Drosophila melanogaster: one gene and its partner. The protein of the gene in region 1 purifies or fractionates together with the protein of each later gene. This does not show direct contact. Each region holds a gene or a part of one and is shown on either strand. Other genes may lie near its edges. The genes, in order: CG5913 and CG31249.

What was found.
Region 2: the proteins of CG5913 (region 1) and CG31249 purify together in Drosophila melanogaster (affinity purification with mass spectrometry, with the first as the bait; one large-scale study listed by BioGRID). This does not show direct contact.

Annotation. Positions count from the first base shown.
Region 1 is NT_033777.3:25,887,874-25,899,900, reverse strand, and holds CG5913 (uncharacterized protein), read right to left. Parts: upstream 6,407-12,027; 5' UTR 6,332-6,406; coding exon 4,967-6,331; 3' UTR 4,875-4,966; downstream 1-4,874. Other genes in the region: Mco3 (multicopper oxidase 3), read right to left, coding at 311-553, 621-2,411; Sodq (sodesque), read right to left, coding at 2,807-3,133, 3,198-3,422, 3,761-4,021; Lnk, read right to left, coding at 7,099-7,452, 7,867-9,198, 9,623-10,123.
Region 2 is NT_033777.3:17,679,916-17,691,993, reverse strand, and holds CG31249 (uncharacterized protein), read left to right. Parts: upstream 1-4,922; 5' UTR 4,923-5,028; coding exon 5,029-5,098; intron 5,099-5,156; coding exon 5,157-5,483; intron 5,484-5,632; coding exon 5,633-5,988; 3' UTR 5,989-6,305; downstream 6,306-12,078. Other genes in the region: osa, read left to right, coding at 1-2,176; CG31360 (uncharacterized protein), read right to left, coding at 6,463-6,581, 6,644-6,821; CG31251 (uncharacterized protein), read left to right, coding at 7,149-7,249, 7,307-7,839, 7,899-8,185; CG7655 (uncharacterized protein), read right to left, coding at 8,385-8,819, 8,879-9,205.

The DNA of each region.
Region 1 (12,027 bases):
TCCATTTTGATTATCAATACATTTTGAAGTGCCTCTGGCCGATAAGTTAAGGCAAAGCGATTAGTTCTTGAATTAACAAGCTTTTGCGTAAAGGAAACCTTTTATTTGATTAACTGGAACTTGAGGAGGTTACAGATAAAAAAGGGAAGTACAATTAGTAACTTTAATCACCAATTTATTTGTTGAATAATTAGTTAATAAATAAAAATGATATAAATAATCTGTAAACTCTATTTGGCAAAATCAGGTCACCCAGATACATAAAGTGGGCATTTTAAGTGGGCGGAATGATTATATTAAAAATAAATACTCAACAGCGCACACGTGCCGGAATGTTTTTCATCTGATGATCCTCACCGATCTTCAGCACCGCCACCATTCCTTGGACGGCGTGTGCTTCAACATGGCAATGATATAGCCAAAATCCAGGATTGTTTGAGATGAATCGAACTATTATGTATCCCTGTCCAGGAATTTGCACAGTATCCTTGGCAACGGCAGCGCTGTCTTCCGATAAACGAGGAAGACGTCCTCTGCGATCCAGCTCCTGAATCTATAAGAACAGAACAAGGATAACGTATTTCTAGAAGACCCTTCGTAAATCTACAATCTCTACTCACATTGCGCAAATCGTTGAGATTACCCAGCACTCCTTGGCCCACCAAACGGAATGTAAATCCGTGTATGTGGAAGGGATGTGTGCTGTCCAAATAATTGGCTACAACCATCTCCAGAGGACGATAGGCCGGAAGCCTCATTACATTAACACACTCGCAAAGCTCACGCTCACAATTTCGTCCTTCTGCGGCCAGGGAGCTCTTGTTGCAGAAGTATCTATCGTCCTGGTAGAGATGCCTGCCCTGCAACAGTGATATTCCCGGCGAATTGTACGAAATATCACTGATTTGAAAGAGTACCTCTCCGTTTGGCGCTGTTCTCGAACCGAAACTGGAGTAATGGGTCAAGAACTTGGTGTAACGAGTCCAGGGCACAGGATCCACGGATCGCAACGCCACGGTACCAACATTGTTATCCTTATCTAAGGATTGGCGAAGTGACGATATGGCCGTGGAATTTGCAGGCTTAAATCGGAAATCGTTGACCAGGATTAGATCCTCATCTGCAGCCCTGCTACTTGGCTTATCCAGGATATCACCCTGTGGCAACTCAGAGCGAGCAGATCCGCGGTAACTGAGCACGGCTCCTTGATAAATATTTCGATTCTCACACTGCTCATAGCCTTTGATCCTGATCCAATAGTTTTTCTTGTACTGATTAGCTTCCAAAACGAAATCAAATCGCTCCGCGGAGGTCAAGAAGAAACCATCTGCCAGCACGGGTTCAATGTCATTACCATCGGTGCTGATCATCAAGAGCCTGTGCTGTTCGATGGAGAACTCCACAGGACAATTGGCTATTCCGTTCAGGATAACTCGCATCCTATAGCGATAGCCTGGAGTAACTCGAAGTCGTTCATACCGATGACGGTTATCATTGTCGGGCAATTGGCTGAGATGATTGCGACCCTTTCCGTTCACCAGAATATTCCGTACATCCTGCAGGTTGTATTCGTAGAATATATCCTGGATCATAAGGGTGTGCTCCACAAGATCATAATCATAAAGCTGTGAATGCTGATTCTCCTGACTGGTTTGGCGCACTACAAAGGCACCAGCCACTCCGAATCCCCGCTGCCAACCCACATGGCTGTGGTACCACAACGAACCACTTCGATCCACTTTGAATTCGTGGCGCTGAACCTCACCGGGCTGCAAAGGATACTGGGTAATGAAGGGTGCTCCATCCATTTCGGGAGTTCTATGCATATGCACTCCATGCCAGTGCATCGTTGTTGGCTCACTTAGATAATTCAACACATCCACGACAACAGTATCGTTTTCGCAGAGCTCTATGGAAGGTCCAGGAACCATGCGATTAACAGCCATCACTGGATTTGCCACTCCATCGCCATAAATACAATGCTCCGAAGCACAGGCCCTCTCATCGAACTGGCATCTCTGGCACTCCGGTCCGAGTCGCTGGTAATTGTGCACCACCAGTTGGTAGTAGCAGTTCTGCGATTGGCCCTGCTGGCAAACTCTTCTGCAGGGATGACGATCAAAGTCCCCAAAGTTGGCCAACTCCATCTGGCTGTAGTCGTTCTTCAGATCCAACGCGGGTGTACCCTTTGTGGTTTTATTTCGCATCCAGGCAAACGAGGGCCATTCGAACTTGGCCTGCGGGAAATCGTCCTTGGAGGACTCACATTGAGACGGGTTTGAAGCGAAAATCAGTAGTACTATCAGCACCAGGCTGGCAAAACTTTTACTTTCGCGTTTGGACATCGCGAACCGCCACGGGCAACTGGCCACTCGATTCGCGGGCAGCCGACGAAGAAAGTTTTGGCCCATTGGGCGACCCAGACCTTTGCGCATGCGCCGCACGTAATGGCCATTAAAGCTGAGCTGAATTCGATAAGCTCGAAAATAATATTGAGCGATCAAGTTGAAATAACCCAACAGTTTGGCCACTTATAAGACTCTGGCTGTAATTTAAATAAATATTATAATACCATAAATATATTTCGAATTGATGAAAAATAGGCCACTGATGCTTTTCATAACAACTATGCCGAAAAATATGATTTGAAAGCACTATATATATGTTTGAGCTCGCAATGAAGCATACAGATTTAAGTGAACATAACATAGTAAAACAAGATGATTGGACACTGATCACTGACTCTGATCAAAGCCTCAATTGAGTAACTACAAATTATTTATTAAAGGAATGATATAATTACAAGTTAAATCTCTGGATTTTCCATTGCAGGTGGTGCTGGTGCAGCTGTTGCCATACCTGATGAACTGGCGGCTGTGCTCATAATACTTATAACCCCACAGGCGATGGCAGGACCCAGTGAATTCTCCTCGTTCTGATAGGCCAGGGGATTTGGCATGGCTTGCAGGGAGGAGGAAAATACCTCTGCATTTAGGGCAGTATTCAGATCGATTGCTTTGCTGTGTATCACTATGGAACGCCCAACGATCCCATTGATGCCAAACAATTGCAGGTAAATGCTCTGAAAGACCGCCGAGATGCTGCCATCATCCTTGGTGTCCACATTACCGAGCTGTACAACTCCAAAGGCTTAATTAAATCACATAAAATTTAAAATCATTTCCACTGGATCTTACAAAGTTATTGGGAAACTGTCCACCGGTGGACTTGCAACCATCGCTGAGATCGCCAAAGGTGTGAATATGCAGGGCATGTTTACCGGGTGGCAATCCAGTCACATTGATCGTCACCCTAATGTCCGAGTTGTAGGGCAGCTGCACAAAGGATATCATTCCGGCCACGCCCGCTCCTTCGCCATCGCCCATCAGTTTTGCACCCGCCTGCCATTGAGGCACCAACTGCTGGAAAATATAAATCAAATATAATAAATATTATAGTATAAAAATCAAGATCAAACTGCTTAAACAATTCAAATGTTGGGGTAAAAAGTGTATGGCTTGCAAAAAAGAGAATAGTTATATGCAATTAGCATTTCACATCATTATAAAATTAAATGGCAGTTGCAAAAAATGTGCGAGTGGGGGAAATACACATTCTTTCATTGAAATTGAATCTGCACAATATAATGTAATTCTATGGCTGGAGCACAAAAGAAATCTAAACGCTTAGTTAAATGACTGTGTAATTTACAAATTATGACGGGGTCATAAAGTTTAATTTGAAAACCATAAATACTCACATAGGTGTATCCCAAATACGACGGCTGAGGAGGCAGCAGAGGTCCCAAAAGGCCAGCGGCTCCTGGAATGCCGACAGGACCACCCAGCGGAACCGTCAGGCGCTCATAGCGCTTCACTTTGGTGCCGGAAACGACTTTAATGCCATCATCGAAGCGGGTCATATTCACCGGACGCAGTCGATCCAACAGATTTTGTGCACTGCCAGGCGCAAAAATGCCGCCATAACCAATTACCAACGCCAATATCAGTTTAATGAGCATTCTAAACTGGTTAAGTTAGGACTCGAATGTGAGAAACTTGCGACCTCACCGTTCTGGGGCTTCGGTTGAACTGATCCAAGCGCCCGACTCGGCTCATCCATGATGACTTCGACATGGTTTTCACGCCGATTGACCACGTTAATTGTCACCGGCCTGCGGATCGCAGTGGTGGCGATATATAGACAGATATATAGCCGGCACATTTGATGACTAGATTGGAAGCTAATGGCAATCGAGTGTCGCGTGTGTCTGGGTCTGATGCCTGGTTACCTGCCACATGGGCGTACTTCTTGCGGGGATTGAGGGCAAGATCACAATCCCATTATTGAGACGTTCAGAAGCGGTTGACAGTTCAATAATATCGAAGCATAGGTAAGCTATTATAATTATATTACCACAAATTGGAACAAAGTACTGATGAATTTATAATATAGTATATATGCGTTGACGGTCTATAACTAAAGTTTAACTAGATCATCGTTAAAGTGTATATCTAGTATGCAATATTTTGTAACAAAGCGTTGACAGTAATGTACTCTATTGAATATTTAATTTTTAAATTAAACAAATGGTAATACCAAATATACGTCACAAACTATATAATATAATGCTGTAATAATAATTCATTAGACTTAGTCCGTTGCCCTCATTATCTATCTGATTAATTTGACTATAATGTGAACCTAAAATGGCTAATCACGAACACATTGAAAGTGAAACACCTAACCCAGATTCCCAAAAAGCGAAATCGACACGCGAGATTTGCTGGCAAATAGATGGCATATTTAGTTTATTTTATAAATACCTGCCCATTTGCAATAATTAACAAATTCGTTAAATTTCGCAATAAATTAAACTGGGGTATGCGTGCGATTAAAGACATGTAATGTTAGTAGTTTACAAGAGGATCAGTCGTTTATGGTCTACATTTTTGGGAATTAGGGATCATCGGTAGCCGCCACGGTATCCTCCGCGACCGCCTCCACCTCCTCTGCCTCGTCCTCCTCCATCACGTCCTCCTCCATCACGTCCTCCTCCATCACGTCCTCCACCATCACGGCCGCCTTGTGGATTCCAGCCTGTACCCTGCACACGGCCACTCCCGCTGATCCATTGCTGATCATTTCTATCGCTGCGGTCACGTTGTTCGTAACTTTGGTTTTGATGTTGCTGCTGCTGCTGCTGAGGCTGCTGCCAGTTGCCACCTCCACCTCCTCCTCCACCTCCTCTTCCTCCACCGAAGCCGCCACCGCCGCCGCCGCCCCTGCCTCCTCTGAAATTACCTCCTCCACCGCGTCCGCCACCTGGAGGACCACTAGCCCTTTGCTGCTGCCACGAGGGCATCTCTGGTGGCGGAGGAGCATGCTCATTGGCCCTGCCTCCGCGATCGGGTACCCGACCAATCACATGCTTTTGGATTTTGGAAGCCGTATTCTTTCTCACATTCGCTGAGCTTGTCTTCTCAATGATGGCCAGATCTGAGCGAGCTGCCAACAGGGCGACCAAGTCGGTTTGCTTTCCGCCCACTTTAAACTGATCCAGCTCCCTCATCTTGCGATTGAATCGATCCATGATCTCATTGGAGCGCTGACGCATAGACTCCGACCACTGAAAGCTTTGTACAGTGGCCTCCAGACGCGTGGACATCATCTGCCTGCGCAAATTGTACTCCGCCTCCAGTTCTCGGTGCAGGGTCTCCAACAATTGCCATTGTGCATCAGTCAAGGGCTTCTTAAGCTTCAACAGCGGTTCGCTGAGCACTTGGGGATTGGTTTTTTTAATGGCCTGCTCCAAGCGGGGAGTTATCTTCTCGAAAAGCATCTTGGTATTGATGTTCTTAGGCACTTCGCCCAGCTGAAGATCCTTGGCTAAGTTTTCGACAACCTGTTGGACATTCGTGTCCACCTTCGATCGTTTGCAGGGTGGACCCACGGGCTGGGCCTTCAGAACCATTTTGGTGGTCATCAGTTCGGATGTGAGGTACTCCAGCAGCTGCACCAGTGCCATACGGCTCTTGAATCGCTGCTCTATGGGTCCCTGCACCAGCTCGCGGTACGGGCAGCCAAGTTCCGTGAGTAGCAGAGACAGCTCGAAGGAAAAGTCTTTGTTAAGGGCTTTGCCCTGATTCACCCGCTCATCGGTTTTCCGCAAAATGTGCAATTCGTGGGCGAGCCAAAGAACCACCTCTTGCATGTCTGGACTTTCAATACCCGCGTCCAGGGCACGACTCAGATTTTCCTGCTTTTGGCAGTGCCCTTGGAAGGACAGCGCCTTCAGGGAATCCACCAAATACAGTTCCAGATCTTCCATATCCTTCGAGAGTTTCAGCTTTTCCTCGAATTGTCAACTTTTTGCCTCTCACCGGCGTGGCAATGTGACCATTGCTTTGTGGGTCGGAAATATCAAAAACTTTTCCAAAGCCAACCTGCCAACTTGTCAAAATAGCGCTGCGAGGTTAGCACGGGCACATACCATGCAAATATTTTGAAAAACATTTTTCGTTACCTTATTTCAAACGAATTTATATATAATATAAAGACTTGGTAAAAGTAATTAAAATAACCACTTTAAAACCCAAAGCCCAAATGAAAGAAGACCGACGTTGGTTTACTTTTACATAACTTCATTTATTGTAGTTTACCAATTTCAATATATATTTATGTATATATAATTTATATTTATAAGTATGGTATATATGTATGTATTTTTGTTTTGTAAAGCAGGAAGTTTTAGGATTCGCATGAGTCGCACCTTTGGTGCCCACAAAAATCGTACAATTTTCTTTTGCGTTTTTTTTTTTTTAGGTTCTTCTTTTCTATACATACAACATTGATGTACTTAAAATGAACACACACATTTAGCTATATAATGTATACATAATAATGTTCAGTTACTTCATGTCTTCCAAAAGAGGTACTAACTAAAATAGAAACAAGTGAATCAAGAAAGCAAAGAACGCACATTGATGCGAAAAAAAACACAATTTTCCTCTCCTTTAGGACAATGATTAAAATGGCACAAAAGTAAAGTTCCGCTGGTTAAGCCGCGAAATGCAGTTGATGATCGATCGCGCGGACTTAGGTGAAGCTGTACTGATTATCGACGGCCCGTCCGGTGCACTCGGCTCCTCCACTGGATCCCGATCCGCCTCCTGCTCCGCCGCTGTTGCTGCCGCCATCGCTGGGATGCCGGTTGCCGGAGGAACCCGCCTGATGGTGGGCAGCTGCCTGAAGGGAGGCGTTCGAAGCCCGCAGATGTGGCTGGTCCAGGAAATTCTGGGCCGGTGGCGGTGATCCGTGCACTGTTAGCGTTGTGGGATCCAAATGGAAATAGACTTGCTCCGGAAAATAGACGTGTGTTGGCTCCTGTGGCAGTTCGATTTCATTTGTCTTTAGGCGAACACTCAAATTCATGGTAATCACTTCGTTGCACTGTTGGAAGAGTATTTAAAATAAAGTTTAGTTAGTCTGGAGACTTTTTCGGGGCGGTCTGGGGTGTGTGGTGAAACATGAAGCATGCGACAATCAAATCAAACTAAACACGAACTAACTAAAATACAACATATTTACTTGAAACAAAGGGTTCCAAAATTCATTTATCCGGTTTTGAAATATGCAAGTTATAATTTAGAATTTTAGCTTCATTGATTGATTAAAGTTACTATTGGAATCAATCTTTGGATTTTTAAAACAAAATGTAAGTTAGTTACTAAGCTCTAGATTCATCAGTTCACAGTTCAAGCCCCATCCCAGTTGATATGAAATGATAACAACTTAATTGAAATCAAAGTAAAATAAAAAACCATCACTGACACTGAATTGACTCCAAAATTTTGGCTATCTCACATGTCTCGGCGACGGATGGCCACCGCCAGCAGCTCCCGATGCAGTTCCTCCCGCCGCATTCGATGCCGTCGATGAACCCTGACCATTATCGTAGCCATTGCCGTTCCCATTGCCATTCCCATTTGTCGAAAGATCGTTGAGTTGTCCTGAGTCATGATTTGCTGCCGTCGTCGGGTCATTCAGTCTGCTGTGTGAGTGCACCCATTCGGTAAGAGTCACATCCGAAGTGCCGCCCGATTCCAGTGGTATCGGGTTGTGGCGGAAGTGTTCGAGCATTTCCTGGATCGAGGGAAACCACAGGTGCTGCACCCGACACTGACCCTTCTCCGAAATGGTGAGCCGCAAATGCTTGGCTCGTCCTTGGAAGTTAAAGGTCAGAACGAACTCGCCGCGGCGCGTTTCGCTCTGTCGCACCAAAAAGTATCCATGTCCGGCTGCATCCGAATGGAGTACCATTCTGGCAGCTTCTGATCGCGTCAGTGTGCCGTGGAACCAGGGAAACACGCTCATCTCAGCCGTCAGATCCGCCACATCTGCATCATTTTCCGTGCCCTCGATGCCATCGAAGTTGCTTGAGGCGGACAGGCGCTGTTCACCTCGATGGGGTCTTACAGGTATGTCAGGTGGCCCGGAGGTCGGTGAGGTGCCCAATTCGTTGATGACATTTAGTTCGCTGGCAGAAGTGGCTCCTCCCTGGCCCAAAGCACTGTCTGCAGACAGCGATGAGGTGAGCGGAGCTCCACCTCCCACCAGATTGCCATTCGAGCCGCGCTGCTGCTGGTACTGCGGATTCTGAATCCCACCAATGGGATTGGGACTCGGAAGTGTCGGCGATGTTTGCATGGCGGACGCCATAACACCATCCGACTCGATCGTTGGCTGCTGAGTGGGTGGCGTTCGCATGCAGTACCGTATTGTGGCTAGCCAACTCCGCATCTCCTCCGCGCTCTCCGCCTCAATCACATACTCCATGTTGTTGTCTGCCTTGAGGACGAATGTGTTCAGCCTGTCCGGCATCTCAAGTGCCGTTGTTTCGCGAGCCTCCGAGATGAGGAAACAAAAGACTCCACTGCGCGGCTTAGTCGCCTTGTGCGGCGTGTAAAACTCTAGCATGTAGCCACCCACGGCCTTGACCAGTACAAGTCGACACTTCTCCCACTTTTGGGAGCCCGTCGGTTGATCCAGACTTTCCGGCGTCAGGTTGTTCACTGTGCCCTCCTTCCGGCACTCCACAACGATCTTGGCCAGCTTCGTCTTGCTCTGCTTGCCGCTGCCACCGCTGCCATCCAAGTCATCCGAGTTCTTGTGGAAGAAGGCCTGCAGCAAAGAGATCTTTGACAGTTAAAACAAGTGGTGACAATATAGCCGGAGTTTCCGACTATAAAACATCCTGGCACTGAAAAGCTTTTTAATCAATGTGAAATACTTCATGATCTGCAAAATTGAAAGAAAGACTTGCATAATTGACAGCATGTTCTGATAATCATGACGTATTCAACAAATCAAATAGAAGATAATAATACCACTTCAGTGAGGTCTAATCGGACTTATGGACAGAATGCAAAGAATGCTAAAGTGAATGCTTTTATCTGCATACTTTTAGTTCGTGATTCGTGACCTTCTTAATGGGTATTATCGGACAGAAAACAACAATCATGTCTAAAAAAAAAGTATAAGCATCAAGTGTGGCCTCGAAATAATCAAAAATCAATCTATTCAATGATTTCGAGAGGATTTGAGAAGAGCATCAACTCACCTTGCCCTTGCGCAGTCCTTTGAATGATAGTCGTCTTAATAGAGACTTTGAGAGCAGTTTTGGCACCTCGTGCTCCTCCTCGAAGTCCAGCGAGCCCGCACCTGATTTAAGAGTGCTCCTCCGCTTGAAGAACTCCGTGTCGTAGTGCGCCGAAAAGGATTCCACAAATTTCTGAGCAAAGCTGCGATGCTGGATGTTCCTCGCCTCCTCCGGCGGCAGATTGCCATTAATGTACGTGATGCACGCCTTGGCGAAATCCGAGGCAGCCACTCTGGCGTGTCGTTCGCAGAACTCCTCCCAACTGGTTCCACCGTATGCATACGAAGACACTCCCATGGCGTTGCCCGTGCCAATTGGTGCGGGTATCAGGTCACTTCCTGCTGCTGCTGCCGCTGCCGCCGATGAAGTTCCCAGGCTGTGATGACTGCTGGCCGACGTGGGCCCAATGTAACCGCCAGCGCTGAAGGCGCTCGTATTCGCTCCTGTGCTATTGCCACCCATTTGGCCAGGTGGTTGCCAGTTCCGCTGGTCCAGGTCCTCCTCCTGCTCCTGCTGCCGCTGCCTCTGCCGGTTCCGGTTCAGTTTGCCACACGAGTTACCCAGCTGGAGTCCGTTTCAAAAGCGCTGAAATGTTAGACAAACAATGCGATCGCGGTTTAGTCGAGTTACTTCGCAAAAACAGCGATCATTGCTGATCGCTTTGAAGAATACAAAAGCATTTATAGTTTAGTTGTTATATGTATTATATATTGGGCCGATGTGCAACGATCTATTTCTATTCTCTGACTCACAGGATTAAGGTTTTCAACGAGTTGGGGGAATTTTGGCAACTTTAATTCTAGAAAACTTGATAAGAATTAAGTGCTGACCAAAACAAAACAATAAAAAGTTAGCTTTGCTTGCTATTTAAACACAATATTGATTTTACAAGCCTGTTTATTGAGTTATTTAACAGCCTGACTTATTGATGGCGCAAAATGGTATATTTTCTTAAAACACGGGTATGCAATGTATATAATGATAAGCGCCCAGACTTAAGCACATATTTTTGTTCATAACAATGTACACTGAAGAATTTTGCATTTATGTAATGAATATTTACGCATGTTTGCACATTACATTAAGTAACACGCATTTTCAGTGCCACAATTAATCCTTTTTCTCGGCAATTAAAAGTAAACGAAAACAAACTTGCGGCGTAGCCCACACACACCCACTCACACAAATGCGAGGGCAGACACACACACCCACACAGCGGCGCGGTGGTGAAAAATTTCCCACAGGAATTTCCACGCCTACGTCACATCGCAATATGCGCGTGGAACACGCTTATAATATAATCAAAAATACTATTGAATTTGCCACTCGACACATGTAAATAACTCACTTTGCGGTTTAAGTATTATCTAAATGCTCGGCATCTTTTTTATGCTTTTATTTTTCTACACAAAGTGCATGATATCTCGCTCACACGCACACACACACAAACACACGCACATCCGCTCAAAATATTCTTTTGCGTTGTTTTGTTGTTGCGAGCAAAAGGAAGTGGCGAGTTAGTCAATAACTGAAGTGCACATACACTTGTTTGTTGTTAATTCGTAATCATTGGTTGCCAGTTCCGCTTGAGCTACCGTCTGGTTGCAATATTATTTATCACTGATTTGTTTGTGTTTTTTGCGATTTAAAACGAAAAAACCTCGACCGTGAAAATTAGAGCCGGACGAAAATCGATATGCATAGTATATATCTATCGATATTTGTTGTATCGATGTTCTTTCTGGAACGTAACCCCGCTAAATGGAGGTGTGTACTCGCTAACATGAATTTACCCGCTAAGTTGTGACCGCTCGCCACAGAAAACCCGATTACCGCAAGGTTGTAAACTTTGGTAAGCAAAATGGTGGGAAACTTAGGAATATTTTGGCGCCAACATTTAAATGTAAGGTTTCAAAAAAGATCTACCTACTACATTACAAAAAGCGTACATGCTTCCAATTTTTGTAAAAAACGCTTATAGGCAATGTTGTTTTAAATCTCACATTTTTATTGTTTCTATACGTTTCGAAATTGCATTTACTTAAAATTAATATGTAACTATCGTTTCCATATGCATACAGTATTTATTTATTTTTAGCTGCGTTAATAGTAAATAATTAAAATTCTTGAAACTTAATTTTGTGAAACACACGCAGTGCAACAGTTGTCGTCTAGCATTATTAATTGATTTATTGTTTGCAACGAACACATGCATTTTGGCAAAACATCATTATGGTTGTGAAGATGTGTGGGAAACATTGGGTGACAAAACGAAAAAATCGAAGGACGGAAATGAGCGTGTGAAACGGAAACGGATCTCGATTAAATGTGTATGAAGGCGAGCTTACTAACTATTATTTGTTGCA
Region 2 (12,078 bases), 8.2 Mb from region 1:
CATAGACACCAACCGCCTGTATGAGCAACTAGAACCCGTAGGTAGCGATGCGTGGACGTACGGGTTCACAGAGCCAGATCCCTTAGACGGCATTATTGACGTCTTCAAGTCGGAGATTGTTAACATTCCATTTGCACGCTACATCCGCTCTGACAAGAAGGGGAGAAAGCGAACGGAGTTGGCTTCCTCATCCAGGAAGCCAGAAATAAAGACGGAGGAGAATAGTACCGAGGAACAGACGTTTAACAAGAAACGGCGATTGGTTAGCGGAGGCAGCAGCAGCAGCGGAGCCCACGCCGAAGGCAAGAAGTCCAAGCTGACGAGTGAGGAATTTGCCCAACCAAACGCCGAAGTCAAAAAGGAGCCAGGTACGGCGGACAGCGATTGTCGCCCCGTTGATATGGATATCGAAGCACCCCAACAACGTCTGACCAATGGTGTGGCACCCTGCTCCTCGACTCCCGCCATCTTCGATCCCCGGACGACTGCCAAAGATGAAGCGCGGGTGCTTCAGCGAAGGCGTGACTCCAGCTTTGAGGATGAGTGCTACACACGAGATGAGGCGTCGCTCCACCTGGTCAGCGAGAGCCAAGACTCGTTAGCGCGGCGCTGCATCGCTCTCTCCAATATCTTCCGCAACCTGACATTTGTGCCCGGCAACGAGACGGTGCTGGCCAAGTCTACCAGATTTCTGGCGGTACTTGGTCGACTGCTGCTCCTGAACCACGAGCACTTGCGGCGCACACCGAAGACGCGAAACTACGATCGCGAGGAGGATACGGACTTCAGTGACTCGTGCAGTTCGCTGCAGGGCGAACGTGAATGGTGGTGGGACTATCTGATTACCATTCGGGAGAATATGCTTGTTGCCATGGCCAACATTGCTGGACACTTGGAGCTGTCGCGCTACGATGAGCTAATTGCCCGCCCCTTGATCGACGGCCTGCTGCACTGGGCCGTATGCCCGAGTGCTCATGGACAGGATCCGTTCCCGTCATGCGGACCCAATAGTGTTCTCTCGCCACAACGACTGGCACTCGAGGCACTTTGCAAGCTGTGCGTGACGGACGCCAATGTTGACCTCGTCATTGCCACTCCACCATTCTCGCGTCTGGAAAAGCTGTGCGCCGTGCTCACCCGACATCTGTGCCGCAACGAAGATCAGGTGCTGCGAGAGTTCTCTGTGAACCTGCTGCACTACCTTGCAGCTGCTGACAGCGCCATGGCTCGGACCGTGGCGCTTCAGTCTCCGTGCATCTCATACCTGGTGGCCTTCATCGAGCAGGCCGAACAGACGGCGCTAGGCGTGGCGAACCAGCACGGAATCAACTACCTGCGCGAGAATCCTGACTCGATGGGCACCAGCCTGGACATGCTGCGGAGAGCAGCCGGCACCCTGCTCCATCTGGCCAAGCATCCGGATAACCGGTCGCTGTTCATGCAACAAGAACAGCGGCTGCTTGGTCTGGTCATGTCGCACATCCTGGACCAACAGGTGGCTCTGATTATTTCGCGTGTTCTTTACCAAGTGTCGCGAGGAACAGGGCCTATTCACTCCGTGGAGTTCCGTCTGCTGCAGCAGCGGCAACAACAACAGCTGCGACCTGGTCCTGCAGGGAAGCAAGCAGCCAGTGCAGGAGGAAGTGCGACAGTAAAAGCGGAGACTGCATCGACGGAAACGAGTTCCACTGAAGCGAAGCCCGCACCAGCAGCCACTACGGCAGTGGTCAACGATGAGAACAGCAACAGTAGCCAGCAGTTGCCGCCGGCAGCGACGTTCAACGACGTCAGCAACAGCAGCACCAACAGCAACAGCTGCGGTACGGCCAGCAGCAACCAGACGAACAACAGCACCACCAACAGCAGCCACAGTAGCAGTGCAATCAGCAGCCAATCGGCGATCACGGTAGCCGCTCCATCAGCAGCCGCAACAGGAGCAGGATCAGCGACAGCAGCAGCGATTGCCAGCGATCAGCAGCAGGTGAGCAAGGTGGCTGCAGCTGCGGCCGCTGCTGCGGCTTTAAGCAATGCCAGTGCAGCGGCAGCAGCAGCTGCGGCGGCGGCAGCTGCTTCCGTTGGTCCGCCCACATCGTCGAGCGTGTCCGCCGGAGCAGCGGTCGCTCAACCAGCGGCACCTCCACCAACCAATGCAGGAACAACGACAGCCGTTGCGTAGTATACGACAATGATGCCAGCGTCCTACTACTGGCCACGAACCCCGCGAGGGGCAGTCGACTAAGCTGGCGTTCGGTGGTTGAACAGCGGGCCCAGGAGCAACTCCGAAGTGCAAGACCAGAAGATGATACCTGCATCCATGTGGGGTGGGCATGTAAATTTACTTAAGTATGGCGCCAAGAGAGAGAGAGAGAGTCACGATGTGCGAGAACTCGTGTCCGAACTCTAAGGATACGTAAACGGGAACTCAGCAGGTGCAGCGCCTGCAATGTATCTGCGATGGAATGGCTCGCCAATCCATCACTGTAACAGTCAATACAATAACAACTGTATATTTTTTCACTCAAATCTAAAAATAGTAAATATGATAACTAAACCTAAACCCTAAGCATTAAGAAATTGAAGCAGCATAGTTATGATCATTCGAAAAGGAAACTGTTCGGAGCAGAACCACTGATACTAACCGATCGAGTTATAGGATCGGGGATTATTATTGAGTCGAACGTGAAGATAGGAAACGGAGGATAACAAAGTTAAGAGCGAAATTCAAGCACACAGCATACTTATTGTACTAAATTTAATAAAAATGAAGCGACGAGCGAGGAGGAATAACTAACACATACATATGCATACGCACGCTACGGTTTATCGTATATTAAATATATATATAAATAAATGCATAAACTAACATTAAATTACATGAGAATGAATTGTGTATGTAAAAGGGATGAATGCATACATACGTACATCTAGACATTGATATATAAATACATAGAGGATAGTTTTTAAATTCTACCACTTACTAATACCTACATATTACCACAATGTGCAGCATAGGAACTCATAAACTGATCGAACTGAACGAACACCAAAGTTCACGCGGAAATATTTAAAAGCAACACGTATATAAGGCAGTTTATTGGATTCAATGTGGTCTAAATGTTGCAGAAGGACGAATCCTTAGAGATGACTAAAAACCATTGTACATACTTAACTATTATGTAAATTTCACTGTATTTTTGTTTTTACGCAATGTTACAAGGCACATGTAAGTGGCAGCACTGCATTTTGTATTATGTTTATGTGTATGATGTTGTATGATGTATTGATGGGCTGCGAAAATTCCAACTTCTTAGTTTTAATCGCATAACTCGGAGGCGAATGGAAATGAAATTAAGCGAGAGAAACAAGCAAACAAGCAAAAATGAAAAACCCTCAGATGAAGGCAAGCAAACAATTTAAATTGAAATCAAATTAGGTGATATAATATATAAAAATACATAACATATACATACATAATTAATATAAACGAAACATGAAAAATCGAAAAAATGAAACCCTAATGCTGTAATCTTATGTTAACTGTATTATTTGCTGGAAGTGCTGCTGCTTCGTTTTATTTTATATCGAACTTACTTAAGGCGTAAATGACAAGATAAATAATTAGGTTTTTATCTTAATCTTAATTTAAAATGCAAAACAAATAAAACCAAGAAAACAAAGCAAAACAAAACGAAACCATAAAATGCTATAAAACACAAAGCGAAGCAAATCGAACTAAAGCTGTAGAGAAGCACGCAAAAAGGACTAATAACCACACATCCACACCCACACCCAAAATGCTTGGCGTTAGGAAACCAATAAACAATTAATGCAAAACCATACATGGGTGGGTGCACCAATTTGTATACTAAACTTTCTCACACATAATTAACGTGCTACATAAGAGATCGAAAATGAAATGTCTCCAGATTCTGGCATGAGCAAGTCTAGAGGTCCTTCCGGTTTCCGGTGGCGATCCTCTGGATCCAGAGGAACTGCAAGATATTGGGAGATAATAGGAAACTGCTGCTGTTGATACGTGTATTCGTGTAGTTGTTTGCAAACAAATATTATAACTCAGCATCTCGATATATAACGTGTAGTTATTAGTCTATAATTTGCTAGGATGTAAATGTATGTCCCTCAAACTTAATTTAATTATTTAATTAATATACATACATATATGATATACAATACAGCCTTTGTACTTGTCGTTTCTTATCGCTGATAAGGGAAAAATATTTTTTGGCGGGGAAATACTTTTTAGAACTCATTTCGATTTTTTCAGTGCAAATCAATTGGTCAGATTGATGAATCCTATGGTAACGCATTCCCAAAATATTTCTTATTATATTATTATAAACTATATTGCTTCTGTTCAGCGTAGGACATTCACTGTTGAGCGAAAGATTATTATATAAATGTATATTCGAGATAATATGCAATTGAGCACCTAAATACCATGTCTAGGTTTTCAAAAATGTCTAGTAACAAGATCTTTTGTCTGTTATTAGGCTGTACTTTCAGCATTGAGGTCGATGTTACTCGATTGGGAATTTGTGCATTGTATTTACAATGTCAATTTGTTCAAATTTACAATTTCAAAAATCAATTTTAAAAGAACTTACATTAATATTAAGAATTCGCGTGTTCCGGGATAAATTTGACTTTTTTAATTAATTGACAATTTTAATCGGTCAATGAAGAGCTTTAAAATTGTATTAATAGTTCTTCAATTAATTGAATAATATGATGTGCAAAAAAATAATTATCGGAAAAAATACTTTTTGACAGTAAGTAGTTTCTTACAAAATATTTGATTTAAAAATTATATATCGATACTTTTTCGAGATTATTAAATTCGAACAGCTTTATCACAGCAAGTTGGCAGCCCAATTTCTACGTCGATAAGTCCTCTCGTTTAATGTTCCATCCCTTAAATTTGGGCGATAAGAATAAGCACAGCCGGCTGTAACATTTTTTGTAAATTAACAGAGCGAATCGATTTTTGTATAGTAATCCGTTGAAAGCATGCTGTCGCTCAAGATGAAACTCGAGGTACTGGGTCGTCCCGATGTTGACATCCCGGTGGTGATGAGCGGTAATTGTCTAGTTTTCCTGATGGGGCTATAAGTCATCCCATTCTTTTCGTTCCGCAGACCGCAAGGAATTCGCCAACACAGTCCTCTGGTTGGAGGACCAGAAGATCCGGCTTTACTCCATAGAGGATCGCTGTAAGCTGCGCACTGTCGACAACCCTGAGATCTGGAAGGAGGGTTACTTAAAGTACTGTGCCGATTTGAGCATGCCGCCCCTGGAGACGCGGCAGGAGCAGCTGGCCTGGATTGTCAGCTATGCTGTGCGCCTGGACTTCCTCGATGATCCTGATCAGTTTGCCTCGATTAACACCAAACAGGTGCCACCCCAAAGCAATGGCAAGCAGTCCCAACAAAGGGTCCAGGCTATTTTCGATGGAAATATTAATAGTATGGTCTGATTTTAACTAAATTTACCATTTAAGGAACTTTAAATTTATATATTATGGATTTTTTAAGAGGTTCCAAAAACCACTTTTATTATCTATAGATGATAATCAGGTAAAGTACAACAAGTATTAATTCTTTCTTCCCACCAGCTCAGGAAAAAGCGTTCGTGGATGGAGTCCGGCTGCTGGCCAGCAAACTGAATGTGCCGCACCACCCGAACCATCTGTTGCAGCTGGAGGCTATCGCTCGCGTGGTGCACGAACGCCTCTCGCCCGCCGCCAAGGATCGCAAGCCGGTAGTGGGTAAACCCTTCCCTTTTGACAAGGGAAACGACGTCGTCTCGTCCAACGACTCTGCCCTGGACCTGCCCATGCGCATACTACGTCTTCTCCAGATCCAGAGCCTACGCGAGCTGCAGACACACATCAATGAGACCATTGTGGCGGTGCAGAACATCACGGCCAATCCAAAGACTGATACCAAGCTGGGGAAAGTGGGATTCTAGACGATTAACAGTAAAGGAACGCAATCGACACAATATAACATAAAAGGACATAAAGAACATAAAAGTTTTAAAATTGCATCTATAAAATATCCTTTAAAGCCAAGCAACAACATTTAGCAGAAATCAATAGATAGATCAACAGCCAAGCTATGAACAAGCAAACACCTTTTTTGAAAGCTATAAAATAAGAATCCTGTTGATATTTTATAATATTATTATTAATACAAACATATGTTTATTTATGATCCTCTTTCAAAAGATGCAATATTGTGTATGCCTATGTAATTAATTTATTTAAAATAAATCATAAATTCATTAAAGCAAACAAGGTTTTGTTTTCAACGATTTTAAATAGAAAAAATTCTAAAAACAAGGTTACAGCTATATTATTGTAATGCCACATGGTCGTACAAAAGAAAACATTAACCTTTATATATTAAGTGACTCTACGATTATAATTAAAACGTCATTGAATTAACGTCTAGAAAAGAACTGATGATCAGTGCTAGTATTTTCCTGTTCTTTTGGCTTCTCGGCGGTTGCCTTCAGGAAATTCGCGTCTGCCAGGCGGGCCACGCCCAGAACTCCAACGGCTATGGCGACGAAGGAGAAAGGAGTAAACATAAGACCGGATTTAAGATCCCAAGTGGCTCACCTGCAGCCAAGCCTTTCATAGTGAAATTCTCCAGAGGTTTCGCTTGTCTTTTTTTCGACTGTGCCAATAGGAAGGCACCAATTCCCAGGAGTCCAAGGCCACTGACCAGACGGCAGGCCAAGCAGTCCACCTCGTTGGAAACGTTGTCCTTGTTCCAAAAAGAAAGTCTACCGATCATTTTTAAAATTATTTCAATAATAACAATTTGGGAATGGATTTGGAAAATAAGGCGACAACTATCGATATACCAAGTTTGTCGCAGGGCTGCCAACTTGATTGTGTTAACTAAACTAGGTTTTTTGTTAATTCGATCAACAAATGCTTTATTGACCTTATTTTCTAATAGAACTAGATTCCTATTAATATTATATATGTTGACCACACTCTAAAATCTTTAATATGTATCTATCTTTTTAATAGCTATCGCCGATTTAAATGCATTGTTATCGATAGACGTGAACATTAGATGTTAAGTTAAAAGCGGCCGGTTACTATTCTTACAAAAATGGACTTTCAGCGAAACGATGCTATGCTCATGGAAATTCTGCAGGATCGGAAAACTATTACAGGTTTCCTGGACTCCATTTTCGGATTTCTGCGACGCAAGTAAAAGATTTTATCTCAAGATCCTTAACAAAACTGTAGTCCCACTTCCCTTTTTAGCACCGACTTTTATCACACAAAACGCGATGAAGCGGATAAAATAGGCTTCCCCAAAGGCGTGAGGGATCAGATTCTATATGGCGCCATGCAGCGCTACGATCCGGATTGCTTGCTACAATCCCTGACCGCGGAAGGCGGTGCAGATGATGGAGAAACGGCTCCGCCTGCCGTCGAAGAAGTGGTCCTGGAAAGCGAAGATGGTCCTCAGGACGAGGAAATGAAACCCATAGAGAGCCAGCCGCCACAAAAAGGGAAGGAGCAGTCAAAGTTCTCCCCCAGCGACTACAAAAACGGAGATGTGTTCGAAACGCACTGCTGGTCACAAACCCTCAAGGATGTGGAGGTGCAGGCTCTGCTTCCCAAGGATCATCAAACGGCGAAGAAGCTGCACATTTCAATTCAGGCCCAGCACATCAAAGTGAGCAGCAAGCATAGCCCAGAGACGATCATCCTCGAGGGAAACCTGAGCCAGCGGATTAAACACAAGGAGGCGGTGTGGACAATTGATCAGAACCGATTGATCATAAGTTACGGTGGGCATTCACCTAAAACATCTTTATAAACCATTTTCATAAACTGTATATAACTGTAGATAAAGCAAAGGAGCTCTGGTGGGATCGGCTCTTCGAAGGTGATCCAGAAATCGATTCCAAGAAGATTGAATGCGAACGCTATATAGATGATTTGCCGGAGGAAACCCAGGCCACCATAGAAAAGCTTAGGGTCCAGCAGTTGGCAGCAGACAAGCAACAAAATGAAATTCAGACCTCAAGTCCCGACCAAGCTATAAACCTGGATCGCCTGAAAGCTGCCTGGGATGCCGAAGGTTCGCCGTTTAAAGGACAGCCCTTTGATCCTTCTATCGTAAGAATGAGTTAAATTTTAAAATAATTAATTAAGCTAGCAATAGTAGTAAAATAGTAAAAACTGAACCATATATATTTTTATATATCTTTTAGTTTTTTCATTATTTGTTTCGTTCTGATTCGGAAACTGAAATTGTTAGAAAAGTATTATTCAATACAAACTCATGTCAACTTACAACTAGATCTTAGTAAGAACACTTTTGAGATTAAGTTTACTTGGCCTTCAGTTCGAGTTTCTTGCGCTGCAGTTGAATCTTCTGATAGGCCACATCCTTCTGATCTGTGGACCAGGCCAGGTACATGTAGGTGGTCAGCAGCAAGGCCATGACTAGCCGATCCACGCTCATCACATTCGTGGCGAACAGGATGACCGACAGGCCCACAAACGAGGGATGTCTGACATGGGCGTACAGATTGCGCAATTCCCCGGATTTGTAGCTGATGGGCGGTCCGTAGGCCTTCAGATCGTAGTAGGCTTGCTTGACGCCCAGCAGCTCTGGCAGATCCATCACCAAACTGCCGCCAAAGATGACAACCCAGCAGATGCCATGGGTGATCACGAAGGTCCACCAAAGCGGAGCACTCTGCTCCACATCGATTTGCCACAGAACAATCGACTGAGCGGGCAGCCAGTTGACGATCAAATACTGAAATGTCCAAAGTTGCAGTTGGGAGCTATTTCTGTCCAATTTGTGGGTATACAAACATGTAAACAAAGCGATGACGTCAGGCTATAAATAGTGCGCTCCGCACCCGACAATCCCAACTTGGCCAACAGCTTCTTGACCACGGCTGACTTGAGGAAGCTGTGCTGGAAGATGAATCCGATCAGGTAGAGGGTATCGAACACCACGGGTCCATAGGCGGTCTGCAGGCGCGACTTGTTGTCCAGTAAATTGAAAATCCAGGTGTGCGCCTTGGAAATCGAACGAGGCGTCGAAAGGAACATCATCAGGCTGCCAACCACGTACAGGGAGTAAGCGAACGTGGCCAGGGATGCCAATAGTACTATGGACTTGGCAATCGATGTCATTTTTGTCAGGAAAATTGAGAAAATAGCTTGTTATTTCGAGATAATCAAAACAAATTCAATGAACGTTTCGGTGAGCTAATCAGTGCGACCATGGCACAGTCGCGATAAAATCTTCGGTGAAGAATTTCAATTTGGTTTGTGTCCACGATAAAAACATCGCTCTCCCCACGTAGCGTGTCTCGGCTACAAAAACATAGCGCATTTATCCGGCGGCTTGAGTCATCGCTAGTTGTCCAAATTTAGGACTATTATGTGACTGGCGCGATTTTTGGAGTATGTCGCCACGGTCACTCTGTTTGCAAATGTTTCAATTTTCCCACTAACGAAAAAGTGTAAGTCCGCAGCCGAAAGGCATAAGAAAGTTGAGAAAAAGTTTAACAGTTGCAAGTAAGAACTGGTTTGATAAAGCGTATCTAAATCCAAGCAAAGTGATGAAAAAACTGTCGACGCGACAACCCAACACACACACACACTCAAACAGGCGCAGCGCTCCGGCACACATACACAAGTGGCTTGCAAATGGCGGATGCGTTTCCAACAAAAAGAAAAGAAGAAGGAAAAGAAAGACTGCATTGTAAATGTGAAATGTTGTGAAAATTGTTGACGTTGCAAGTGGCTTAAAATCGGCTGAAAATCAGCGTTAGAAGTATAGAGACTGGAGATAAGAAGGGGAGAGCGGTGTACATGTATGTGTGTAAGTGCAGTGCGACGCCCTTTTGTCTTGAGAGGAAAAAGGAAGCCACTACTTTATTTATCGGTGTGCAATTATTCAAGGTGCCAATTAGTAGTCGACACACTTTCACTGCTCCCCATTGCTTAATTATGAGCAAAGGGGACAGCTGACTGCTTTGATTTGCCAAAAATCTCGGGCGCCGCCGTCTGGCCGGGGCCCTGCCCCCGCCCTTTCCCATTTGTTGTTCGCTGATTTTATCAAAGAAAAAGACAAGAAATGAGCATAATTGATGCGCTGACCTCACCACACACACACACATAAGCATATGCGGGCTTATCAAAGGAGCGAGAGCGGAGCAGAGCTCAAAAGAGAGAGCGGAGCAGAGCAGCTGCAGTCCAATAAATCATAGACTCAAAAATCGTTCGTCATCGGGGAAAACCAATTGACAATCAACAAATGCTATCGACGTCTACGTCAGCAATCAATAATCATTAACCGCCAGCTTTAGACAATATCAATTTGCCTATTTATAGCCTTTATGAGTCACTCCACATTTTAGACCAACCTTCCATCTGTGGACCAAAAGAAAAAATTAGGGAAACGAACTTGGAACCTGACGCTCCCACGCAGGAATAACAAGAAGACACCACACACCGCAAAAAACATGCCACGCTTTCTTTCCCACAGAGATAAATAAAGCAGCATTGCATGTTGCATAAATATTACGGGAGAAAAAGACGAAAAGTAGGGAGCAGTGCTTTCTAAAATTAAAACTCTTGAGCCGCTGAAAATAGCAGGGGCAAAAAATGCATTTATGAATAAATAGATGAAAAATAATGAATGAGTGCGAGTACGCTCTCGCTCAGCGGTGACAGAGAGAGCGAGGAAAGCACTTGCACCGTTATCAGTGATGCTGCTGCGAAAGCAAGCTAGTAAAAGTATAATTTCAAATTATTTTTTTATGAAAGAACAAAAATAATATAAAATGGAGAACCCGGTTAAATTTTAGATAGATTGGAAGTTTTCAGTTTTAAGAAGTTATTAGGATATGTAAGTTGATTATGAAAAACAATTTTTTTTTAGAAACAAATCTAGACATTTATAATTCGCATAAGGACTTTAATAATTATACACAGTTACGAGGATCAATAACTTTTTTATTTCCATTTGAAGAGATGTAATCGCATTGGCGAATACTTGACCCACTTCAAACACGCTGCCTTCAAAGGCCAGAAAATGGTCAACTTGGCATTTCTGGCCGGGGCTCACCAACAGGGGAGAAATTCCATGTGCCAGCAAGTGCGAGTGTGTGTGTGAGCAGGCAGCTAATTGAACACTGGGGCGCCGCAAAAGAAAGGGGGAGGGAGGGAAGCAACGGCACAGAAAGATAGAAAGAAAAACGGGAAAATTAGGCCAACTGTGCAGTTCGATGTCAGTTTGCCAGTTTGTCAGTTGGCTGTAACGAGGCCGAGCAGCCAGCGTGTTTTGCATGCTGTTCGACCATAATACATAATTATTTATAGATGGTCATAATGATAATTGGCAGCAAGATTTCGACTTTCACACACTCGTTTATACAAAAACTCACACAAAAACACTGGCCAGTCACACTCACGCACACATGGGCGCTTTTCTTCCGGTTGATGACCTTTACCGGCGTTTTTATTGTGCTTTTTATTCTCTTTTGGCTTTGGCTCTCTTCTGCCGCCACCGCTTCTGCTGCTTCTTCCTCCCCCGCCTCTATACTCACGGAATCGGAATCCGCAGCCCGGACTTTACTTACTTTCCGTTAAACGCCATCGATTTGTTTGACGGAAACCCGTTTCCATTGTGCCATTAAATATTAATTTAACTTTGTGGTCAGTCCACCCATCCGTAATAATGAATGTCGGTTTCATAGGACTAGATAATAGACAATTGGAGTTGTAAAAACTTTCATAAATTGTAGTGAAGATGCTATGAACCATCTAAATTGTCACAATGGTCGCAATACAACAGTTGGAAACACTAAAAATGGTTACATTTGTTAATAAATGAAATCAAGAGTTAGTTATATGTAGATAGAGTAAACCTGGAAAGATTTGCTGTATACGGATTATTCATCTACCCAGTATCACGTAACCCAGTATTTTTGAAAGCCCCTTAGAAATGTTTGTTGATTGTGGATAAGAAGAAACAGAAACACAGTCAGTATCTTTTA